Linked DNA regions of Lonchura striata. Each later gene encodes a partner of the first gene's protein in a complex. Links are inferred from orthologs where the notes say so. Each region holds a gene or a part of one and is shown in the gene's direction. Other genes may lie near its edges. The genes, in order: GLB1 and CTSA.

What was found.
Region 2: the proteins of GLB1 (region 1) and CTSA are in contact, whole or in part, in a cryo-EM structure (PDB 7KDV), measured with the Mus musculus proteins. The link is inferred for Lonchura striata from reciprocal best matches to the Homo sapiens genes GLB1 and CTSA. Residues at the interface, in NP_033882.1 of Mus musculus: Tyr198, Asp199, Arg202, His206, Leu229, Thr233, Leu234, Gln235, Asp236, Leu237, Lys258, Phe259, Glu260; in NP_001033581.1 of Mus musculus: Glu29, Asp31, Ala37, Lys38, Gln39, Pro40, Ser41, Phe42, Arg43, Tyr107.

The regions. Positions count from the first base shown.
Region 1 is NC_134603.1:113,036,428-113,040,330, reverse strand, and holds the start of GLB1 (beta-galactosidase), read left to right. Parts: upstream 1-1,034; 5' UTR 1,035-1,106; coding exon 1,107-1,160; intron 1,161-3,808; exon of another isoform or gene 3,809-3,897; coding exon of another isoform or gene 3,898-3,903. Other genes in the region: TMPPE (transmembrane protein with metallophosphoesterase domain), read left to right, coding at 3,898-3,903.
Region 2 is NC_134619.1:8,202,010-8,205,912, forward strand, and holds the start of CTSA (lysosomal protective protein), read left to right. Parts: upstream 1-1,352; 5' UTR 1,353-1,422; intron 1,423-1,620; coding exon 1,621-1,781; intron 1,782-1,853; coding exon 1,854-1,965; intron 1,966-2,083; coding exon 2,084-2,134; intron 2,135-2,407; coding exon 2,408-2,494; intron 2,495-2,587; coding exon 2,588-2,743; intron 2,744-3,046; coding exon 3,047-3,138; intron 3,139-3,431; coding exon 3,432-3,516; intron 3,517-3,613; coding exon 3,614-3,705; intron 3,706-3,903. Other genes in the region: NEURL2 (neuralized-like protein 2), read right to left, coding at 114-789. UniProt on the Homo sapiens protein: Protective protein appears to be essential for both the activity of beta-galactosidase and neuraminidase, it associates with these enzymes and exerts a protective function necessary for their stability and activity.

The DNA.
Region 1 (3,903 bases):
ATTAAAGGACAAACAAATAAAGCAGGTGTGATTGTGGGAGTCTACTATAGGCCACCCAGTCAGGATGACAACACCAACAAATTAGTCTTTAAGCAACTAAGAAGTACCTGTAAATCAACATAGCTGATAACAGGTCCAAAAGATTCCTGAAACGCCTAACCTCTTGGTACAGGTACTATGAGAACTGACTGGGAAAGGTGCCGTCCTTGATTTATTGCTTGTTAACACAGAGGGACCTGTGGGCAAAGTGATGATTTGTAATTTCTTGAGTGATGATTTGTGGCTTTCTTGGCCACAGCAATAATGAATCAAGTTTAAAATCTGCTGACAGGAGAACTGCCAGCAAAACTTCAACTCTGGATATGAAGTGAGCAAAATTCAGGCTGCTCTGGGAACTAGTTAGTGAGGTTCCCTGGGAAAATGCTTCTTTCTGCCTTTTTGCCCAGCCAAGGTGGCAGAGGCTGCGAATGTTCTGGCATTCCTCTGGGAAGCTGGGGCAAGTCTTTGGCTTTGGACCGGCTGGAGTGTGAGTGGTGCTGCAGATGACGGTCTGACCACTGGAGGTAAAGGCCAGAAGCAGCTTTCTGTCCTGGCAGCTATTGCATGGGAGCAAACTTTGGCGGTGTGCTCAGCGCTGGTGACTGTCTCTTGATTTCAGTGCAGGGCTCCCCGAAGTGCTTTAACATGGGAAGGAGACCACCTAGACCCAGTGCTTCCCGTCAGGATGATGGGCTGTCTAGGCGAGGTAAAGGTCAGCAAGGCCTTTCCATCTTGGAAACTTATGTGTGGGAGAAGTTCTTGCATGGATTTATCATCGGCGGTTGCATCCCAAAGTCCCCCGGAGCTCGCGGCGCTGCACGTCAGCGCTTTAACACGGGAAGCAGCGCCCCGGGCTCACAGCCCCGGGCGCACGGCGGGCTGCGGGGGGCGACCCGGGAGGGGAGGGCGGGAGGAAGCCGGGCTCGGAGGGGTGGGGCGGCGCTGCCTGGTGGCGGCGGGCAGGGAGGAGGAGGAGGAGGAGGAGGAGGAGGAGGGATGCCGTGCTGCGCCGGCCGTTTCCCGGCGGAGCCGTCAGCTGACGCCGCCGTTTCCTGGTGCCGCCCGCCATGCTGCGGCTGCTGCTCCCGCTGGCCGCCCTGGCCGCGCTCCTCGGGGCGGCGGTGAGTGCCCGCCTCGCCTCCCCCAGCCGGGGACAGCGGGGCGGCTCTGAGGGCCGGGGGAGGGCTGGCAGGGGCCTCCTGCCGCTGCCGGAGGAAGGCGCTTCGCCTCAGTCCTTTTCTCAGCCGTGAGCGATGCAGGGCGGCGCACGGGCGCGGGTGCCGGGCTGGTGGCTGCGCCGAGGGGTCGGTCGCGGAGCCGCGGCAGGGAGGGCTCCTGCCCTTCTCCCGAGCAGGCCGGCCGCTCCCGGCCGCTCCCGGCCGCTGGGGCCGAGGAAGGGCTGGCGGTGCCGCCCGGCGCCGGGGCTCGGGGCTGCCGGCCCCGGCGCTGCCTGCGCGCCCGGGCTTCGCTGGGGCCTCGCTGGGAGAAACCGGTACCGACCCGCTGGGAGATCCGTGGGATAAACGTGCTGATCCTGTGGTGTGCGAGAGGAGGGAAAGGGGCTTTACCTGTTCTCCACAGATTCTGCTGTAGCAGCCTTGTCCCGCGGGACGCAACACCACAGCCCAAGGACGAATCCTCATGCTCCACAGTTTCCGTGTTTTATGCCTCGAGTTTGAGGCAGAGTGACACTATTACCTTGGTAGATGTTGTGGTTGGATGGGGCACGGGTGGTTAAAGATGTATGAAAAATAGAACATCATGTGAGATCTTATGGAAGGGGAGTTTGGGTTACAGTTTGTGCACTTTGTTAGGGGTGAGGTTGTTCCTGAGCCTTCCAAAATTTTGAAGGTGGCAGGCAAGAACAAGTACTCTTCAAACTTGATAGTATTAGCACTTTTGGAGGATTTAATAGGTTAATTTCAAACAGATAAAGTACTGTAAAAATACATTGTTTCGAGAATTTGCTGCCATGGGAGGTTGTAGAACCAGACAGTACTCAACAGATTTTTAAAAATTGATTTCCCAGATTTAAATATGGCAGGCTCTTAAGCAACATCCAAGACTTTCTAACACCCATTTCCAACAAGAAATGACTGTGAAGGATTTGCCCTCTAAAATCCCTCCTGTAGCAGCTGTGTCAGTTGAAGGAGCACGACGGAGCAGACCACAGACTGTGGCCAAGGTCCTGTCATTTCTTTATACACTGTTTCTTACTGCCGGTGTCCAGACAGAGTATTGCATGGTGCCTAGAAGACCTATGGACTTGAATCAGTAGGGCATTTATTGTGCTCTTATCTTCCTAGCTCTGTGTGTTTTCTGCAGAGACATATGTGCAAAATAGCACTGTTTCTTAAGAGGAGTTTAGTAACAACTGAGAGGGTTTGAGGAGCTGAGGCTGGCAAGTACGATTTTCCTTATCAGCTCACAGTTCCCTGACATAAGCAATAAGGGAATGGGTCTTTTTAAAACTTGGTCTAGTCCTCAAAGTAGATCAGGGTCCTGTCATCACAGATGTGCTAATGTTCTTTTAAACTAGCTTGAGAGGGTATTGCAGCAGATAAGCAACCTGGCAAACTGGGGTTTGCAGACTTCTGGGCTCAGGCTCACTGCTGAGCCCTATAATGCTGCTTTTGTACCCTAGTTCTGAGACATTTTTTGCTATAATGATTGCTTGCTTTCTGTATCTAAGTGTGGATTGAGAGACAGGAAGTGTTTTGAAAATAAGTATGCTATTATGGGACTATTATGTCAGACATGGTCTCTCTTGTATATTATGAAAGACTTACCAAACTTTTTTCATCTATGATTACAATAACGGGTTTCTTCTAAATAGAAATGTGCAACCTGAGCGATAATAGAAACACCATGACTGAGCAAAATACAGAGCAAACCAGGGAATTCTGCTACCATTCAAACATAACTGATGCTTGCTTGTTTGTTTCAAGTCTGTGAACAGTCATGCATTAGATTCTGTACTCCCTTCTAAAGGAGCAGGGTGTGGTATTTTAATCCCTTTTCAACTTGGTTGCATCCTGTTAGACCAGGATATACTAGAACAGGTGTTGAGTCTTGGAAAACTTTACATGTAGTGGAAGTGGGCTGGAAATGAGTAGTGTGAGTTTCACTGATCCTACTGATCTTCAGATCCTAGTAATTTTCAGGGCTTTGGAGAAATCTGATTCACAACAGCAGGCAAGGATCCATCTGCTGATCATCTGCAGTTTCTGGGACCACAGTTGCATTGTTCCAGTGGAGATTTCACTGCTGCTGTAGCATCTGTTAGTAGAACCTCTTGCATTTGGTAAGAATGATGTAGGGTGTTGCCTTCTTTTCAGATGGAGCCAACTGCTTGGCAAGAAGAACAGAAATAATGTATTAAGGTAATATCACAAGCAACTTAGTCCCAGAACATGTACGGGATTTACAAATGCTGTAATGGTTGTTCCCTGGACTCACTGCAACCCTGTTGTGATGTATTGCCATCTACTATTAGGAAGTCTTGATGAGAAAAAAGTGTTTAAAAGAAAAGGGGGTGTGGGGGAGAAATGATCGAGGGAAACAGGGGGCTTGGAAGGGAACTTCAGCATCCAGTCTTTTCTGTTGTCTGATTTACTCCACTTCAGGACATCTCTGTGTTGTTATGACAGTGATTCTGCATGACCCAGCATCTTGTGTAGTATGTAGAGTAACAATCCTTTATTGCAGTCTGGGAAAAAGGGAATGTGTGTAATATTTTAAAGCGGCTCATACTGGTTCCTGGTTGCAGGCTTTGTTGACCCAAGGCATCCCTTCATAACCACATTATTGACTTCTGGAGACTTCTGCAGAACAGAAGGGAGCAGTCAGGAAGCAAAGATGATC
Region 2 (3,903 bases), on another chromosome or scaffold:
CCAGTGGCACGCACCAACCTTCCCTCTGTTGGCGACTATGGCATGACCCCAGCAGAGCTCCCCCACTCCTGGCCCACGCAGCACGTGCCGCAGGGAAGGGCACAGGTACCTACAGCCATAATCCACCGGGATCACCCGGACACTCTTGGTGGAAGCAAAGACGTCAATGACGGCGTAGAGCGGGCGGGTGGTGGGCAGGCCCCTGGCGCTCGGCCCCATGTCCTCGCCGTTGATGACGATGTGCATGTCGGCGGTGCCATCGGGCTGTGGGGCGTACAGCACCCCGATGCGGCTGCGCCGGGCAGTCGCGGGCAGCACGTTCATCTTGTACAGGTCATCCAGGATGTGGCTGTAGCGGCCGGGCCGGCTGCGCCCCACCAGCGTGTCACGGGGGATCCGCACCCGCTCGATCAGCAGGAAGGGCTCCCAGGGCCGCCCCCGCGCCTGCACCTCCTCCCCCTCCACCACCACACGGTTGTGGTTCCGGGTGATGGCAAACACCCAGGTGTCCCCCAGGTTCACCAGGTCCGGCAGCGAGTACTCGGGCACTACCTCCAGGCTCTGGGGATCGTGGGCTGTCAGTCCCACACGCAAGTGCCCGCACCAGCCCAGCTCCTTCTCCTCAATCTCCACCAGGAAGATCTGCCCGGGTGCCAGAGGCTCCTGGCTGAAGCAGAGCCCGTTGGCGAAGCTCTCCACCCGTGTGGCTTGCGTGTGTGAGGCATCCAGGCGGATGTTGGCGCCGTGGATGTGGTGGAAGCGTGCAGCAAGCCTGCACCGGGCAGCCATTGCTGCCGGAGCTATTTTTAACTGTCCCTGTCACAGCTGCTGTGAGGTGGTGACAGCCCGGCTGGGAGGGACAACCAGAGGGCTCCAGGGGGGTCCTAGTTCTATGGGGGAGGTTGGGGGGCCCTGTGGCTGCTGGGCACACCCGGGCCCAAACCAGACCCACAGACATTCCACACTGGACTGTCTAGCGCTGCCACCTGGGGTGCCTGGATGTGCCCATGCTGTCCAGCAGCAGCAGGCAGTGCCCGCTGGTGCCCAGTGGTACCAGCTATAGCCAGCAGCGGCCAGTGGCCATCACACGGTGCTGACTGGCAGGGCCTGGCGATGCCCGGCTTTACCCAGCGCTGCTGGGTGGCACCCAGCTGTGGTGCCCACCGGAGCACCGCACGCCCGGCTGCCCCCATTTGGGTGCGGGGTCTCTGTCGTTGCCCCCCCCGGCGGTGTCCCGGTCCCGGTCCCGGGGCCGCTCCCACGTGCGCGGGCGGGGCCGGGGGCGGGGCCGGCCGCCCCCGGGGCGCTGATTGGCCGCCGCCGGGCCCCGCCCCGCTCACGTGAGCACCGCAGGTCATATGGGCGCGTGTCATGTGCCCGCCGTGACCGCCGCCTGCGAGCGCCGCGCCGGGAGCGGCCGCGGTCAGCGGGACCGGGGGGCCGGGAGGGGACCGGGGGACGGGACGGAGGGGCCAGGACCGGCGCCAGGGGAGCCGGCCGGGCCGGGGGTCAGCCCCGAGTGCGGGGCCTGCCGGAGCAGCCGGGCCGGGGCGCTCGCGGGGCGCTGCCGCGGCCGTTCCTGGCTGACAGCACCCTGACCGTCCCTTCCGCCCACCGCAGATGGGGCCAGTGTTGCTGTCGTCGCTGCTGCTGCTGGGGTTGGGCCGGGCCGCCCCCCCGGACCATGAGGTGACCTACCTGCCCGGGCTGTCAAAGCAGCCCTCCTTCCGCCACTTCTCGGGCTACCTCTGCGCCGGGCCGGGCAAATACCTGCACTACTGGTACGTGGGACTGCGCCTGGCGATGGGGGGGGCATCGGCTGGCACTGGGCACTCACAGCTACACGTCCACAGGTTCGTGGAGGCCCAGAGCAATCCCCAGAGCAGCCCCCTGGTCCTGTGGCTGAACGGGGGCCCTGGCTGCAGCTCCATGGAGGGCTTTCTCAAGGAGCATGGCCCCTTCCTGGTTAGTAGTCACTGCTATCCTGTGGCTCAAGGGCTCAGGGGATGACCGGCTGCGTGGCACGAGCCATCCCTCTGTGTCCTGCCCTGCTTTGCCCATCAGTCACCATCTTCTTCCTCAGATCCAGCCTGATGGGGTCACACTGAAGTACAATGAGTACGCATGGAACAAGGTACAGGCACTGCTTCCCTTTGTGGCTTTAAGATAGGGTGGCTGTGAGCCAGTTCCTCCTGCTCTCTCCATTGACCTGACTGCTGCTCCCCTCCTGCCCAACACACCCTCCTCCTGAGTCTGCTGTTGAGCAGCACAGGAATGTGGCCACCCCAGTGCAGCCCTGGGGCGGGCCACACTCCTGTGGGCGCTGCCATGGGTGGGGCTAGCAGTCCTTGGCCCCACTGAGGCAGAGGGTCTCCCCTGATTGCTGGCTCCTCTGCTGTCCTTGCAGATTGCCAACATTCTCTACCTGGAGTCTCCTGCTGGTGTCGGCTTCTCATACTCCGATGACAAGAAGTATGGCACAAATGACACGGAGGCGAGTGACTGGGAGAGCCCTGCTCCCCTGCCTGCCCACTCCTGGCCATGGGGTTCAGCCTCACCACCTGACCATGCCACCTTCTCCCTGCAGGTTGCTCACAACAACTACCTGGCACTGAAGGACTTCCTCCGGCTCTTTCCCGAGTACTCCAAGAATGATCTCTTCCTCACAGGGGAGAGCTATGGAGGGGTCTACATTCCCACACTGGCAGAGTGGGTGATGCAGGACCCCAGCCTCAACCTGAAGGTGGGCAGCTTGGCTCTGCCCAGTCGGGGAGCAGAGGGCTTGGCACAGCCAGGGTGGGACCAGCCGGGATGTAGGGCACGCCTGGCCCTGCAGCCTTTTATCTCTTCCTGGGGTTCTGGCAGCAGCTGCTGGTGGACGTGTCTGTCCCTGCTGCCAGGGGAGTGTCCTCAGGCACCCCCAACCCTCCCTGTTCCCTCCGCAGAGTAAACAGTTCCACATCTGCTTCCTGCCTGCGGCTGCTCTGCTGTGACTGCCCTGCGGGGAGCTGGAACACAACAGGGTTGTTTTCTTCTTGCCTCGCAGGGAATCGCTGTGGGAAACGGCCTCTCATCTTATGAGATCAATGACAACTCCCTGGTTTACTTTGCCTATTACCACGGGCTGCTGGGGACAGAGTAAGAGCAGAGGGAATGCTGGATGTGCCTTCCCTGTGCAAGCAGGATGGGTGCACAGCTGAGGCTGGGGCTGTCTGGGTTGGTGGTGTTGAGACAAGGGCACACATAGCCTGCCCTGGGTCAGCATCTGGGCTGTGGCTCCTTGTCCCAGGTAGCTCCCGTGGGTGCATTTGTGGGGTAAGGAGGACACATGGCCAAGCTCTGTGCCTTGTGGCCACTGGGCAGAGAGCTGCAGGGCAGCTGTCATGTCAGTGTTGCCACCTGGTCCAAGTGGTCCTGGTCTCTGCCTGCAGGCTGTGGAAAGACCTGCAGGCCTTTTGCTGCTCCGAGGGGAAGTGCAACTTCCATGACAACTCCAACCTGAACTGCACACTCAAGGTGAGGGAGCCGGAGCCCCTATACCTGCGCCGAGCAGAACGTGCCTGGGCCCACAGGTCCACAAGGGTCCTGCTGAGTCCCAAACCCTTCCTTGCAGATGGGGGAAATGATTCAGATTGTAGAGGAGTCTGGCCTCAATATCTACAACCTCTATGCCCCTTGTGATGGAGGTGTCCCAGGGAGCATGAGGTGAGAGTAGCCCCAGGGAAAATAGTTCTATTAGCACCAGATTGCTTTGCACTACACAGAGGGACCTGGTGAGCTGGGCTGGGTAAGTGTCCCTCTGGGACACTTGGATGGTTGTGTGGCTGCTGCTGAGGACTCCCCTCAGGAGAGCCCTTAGCCCTTGTTCTCCAGGGTTTTCAGTCTGTCCTCATACTCATTATG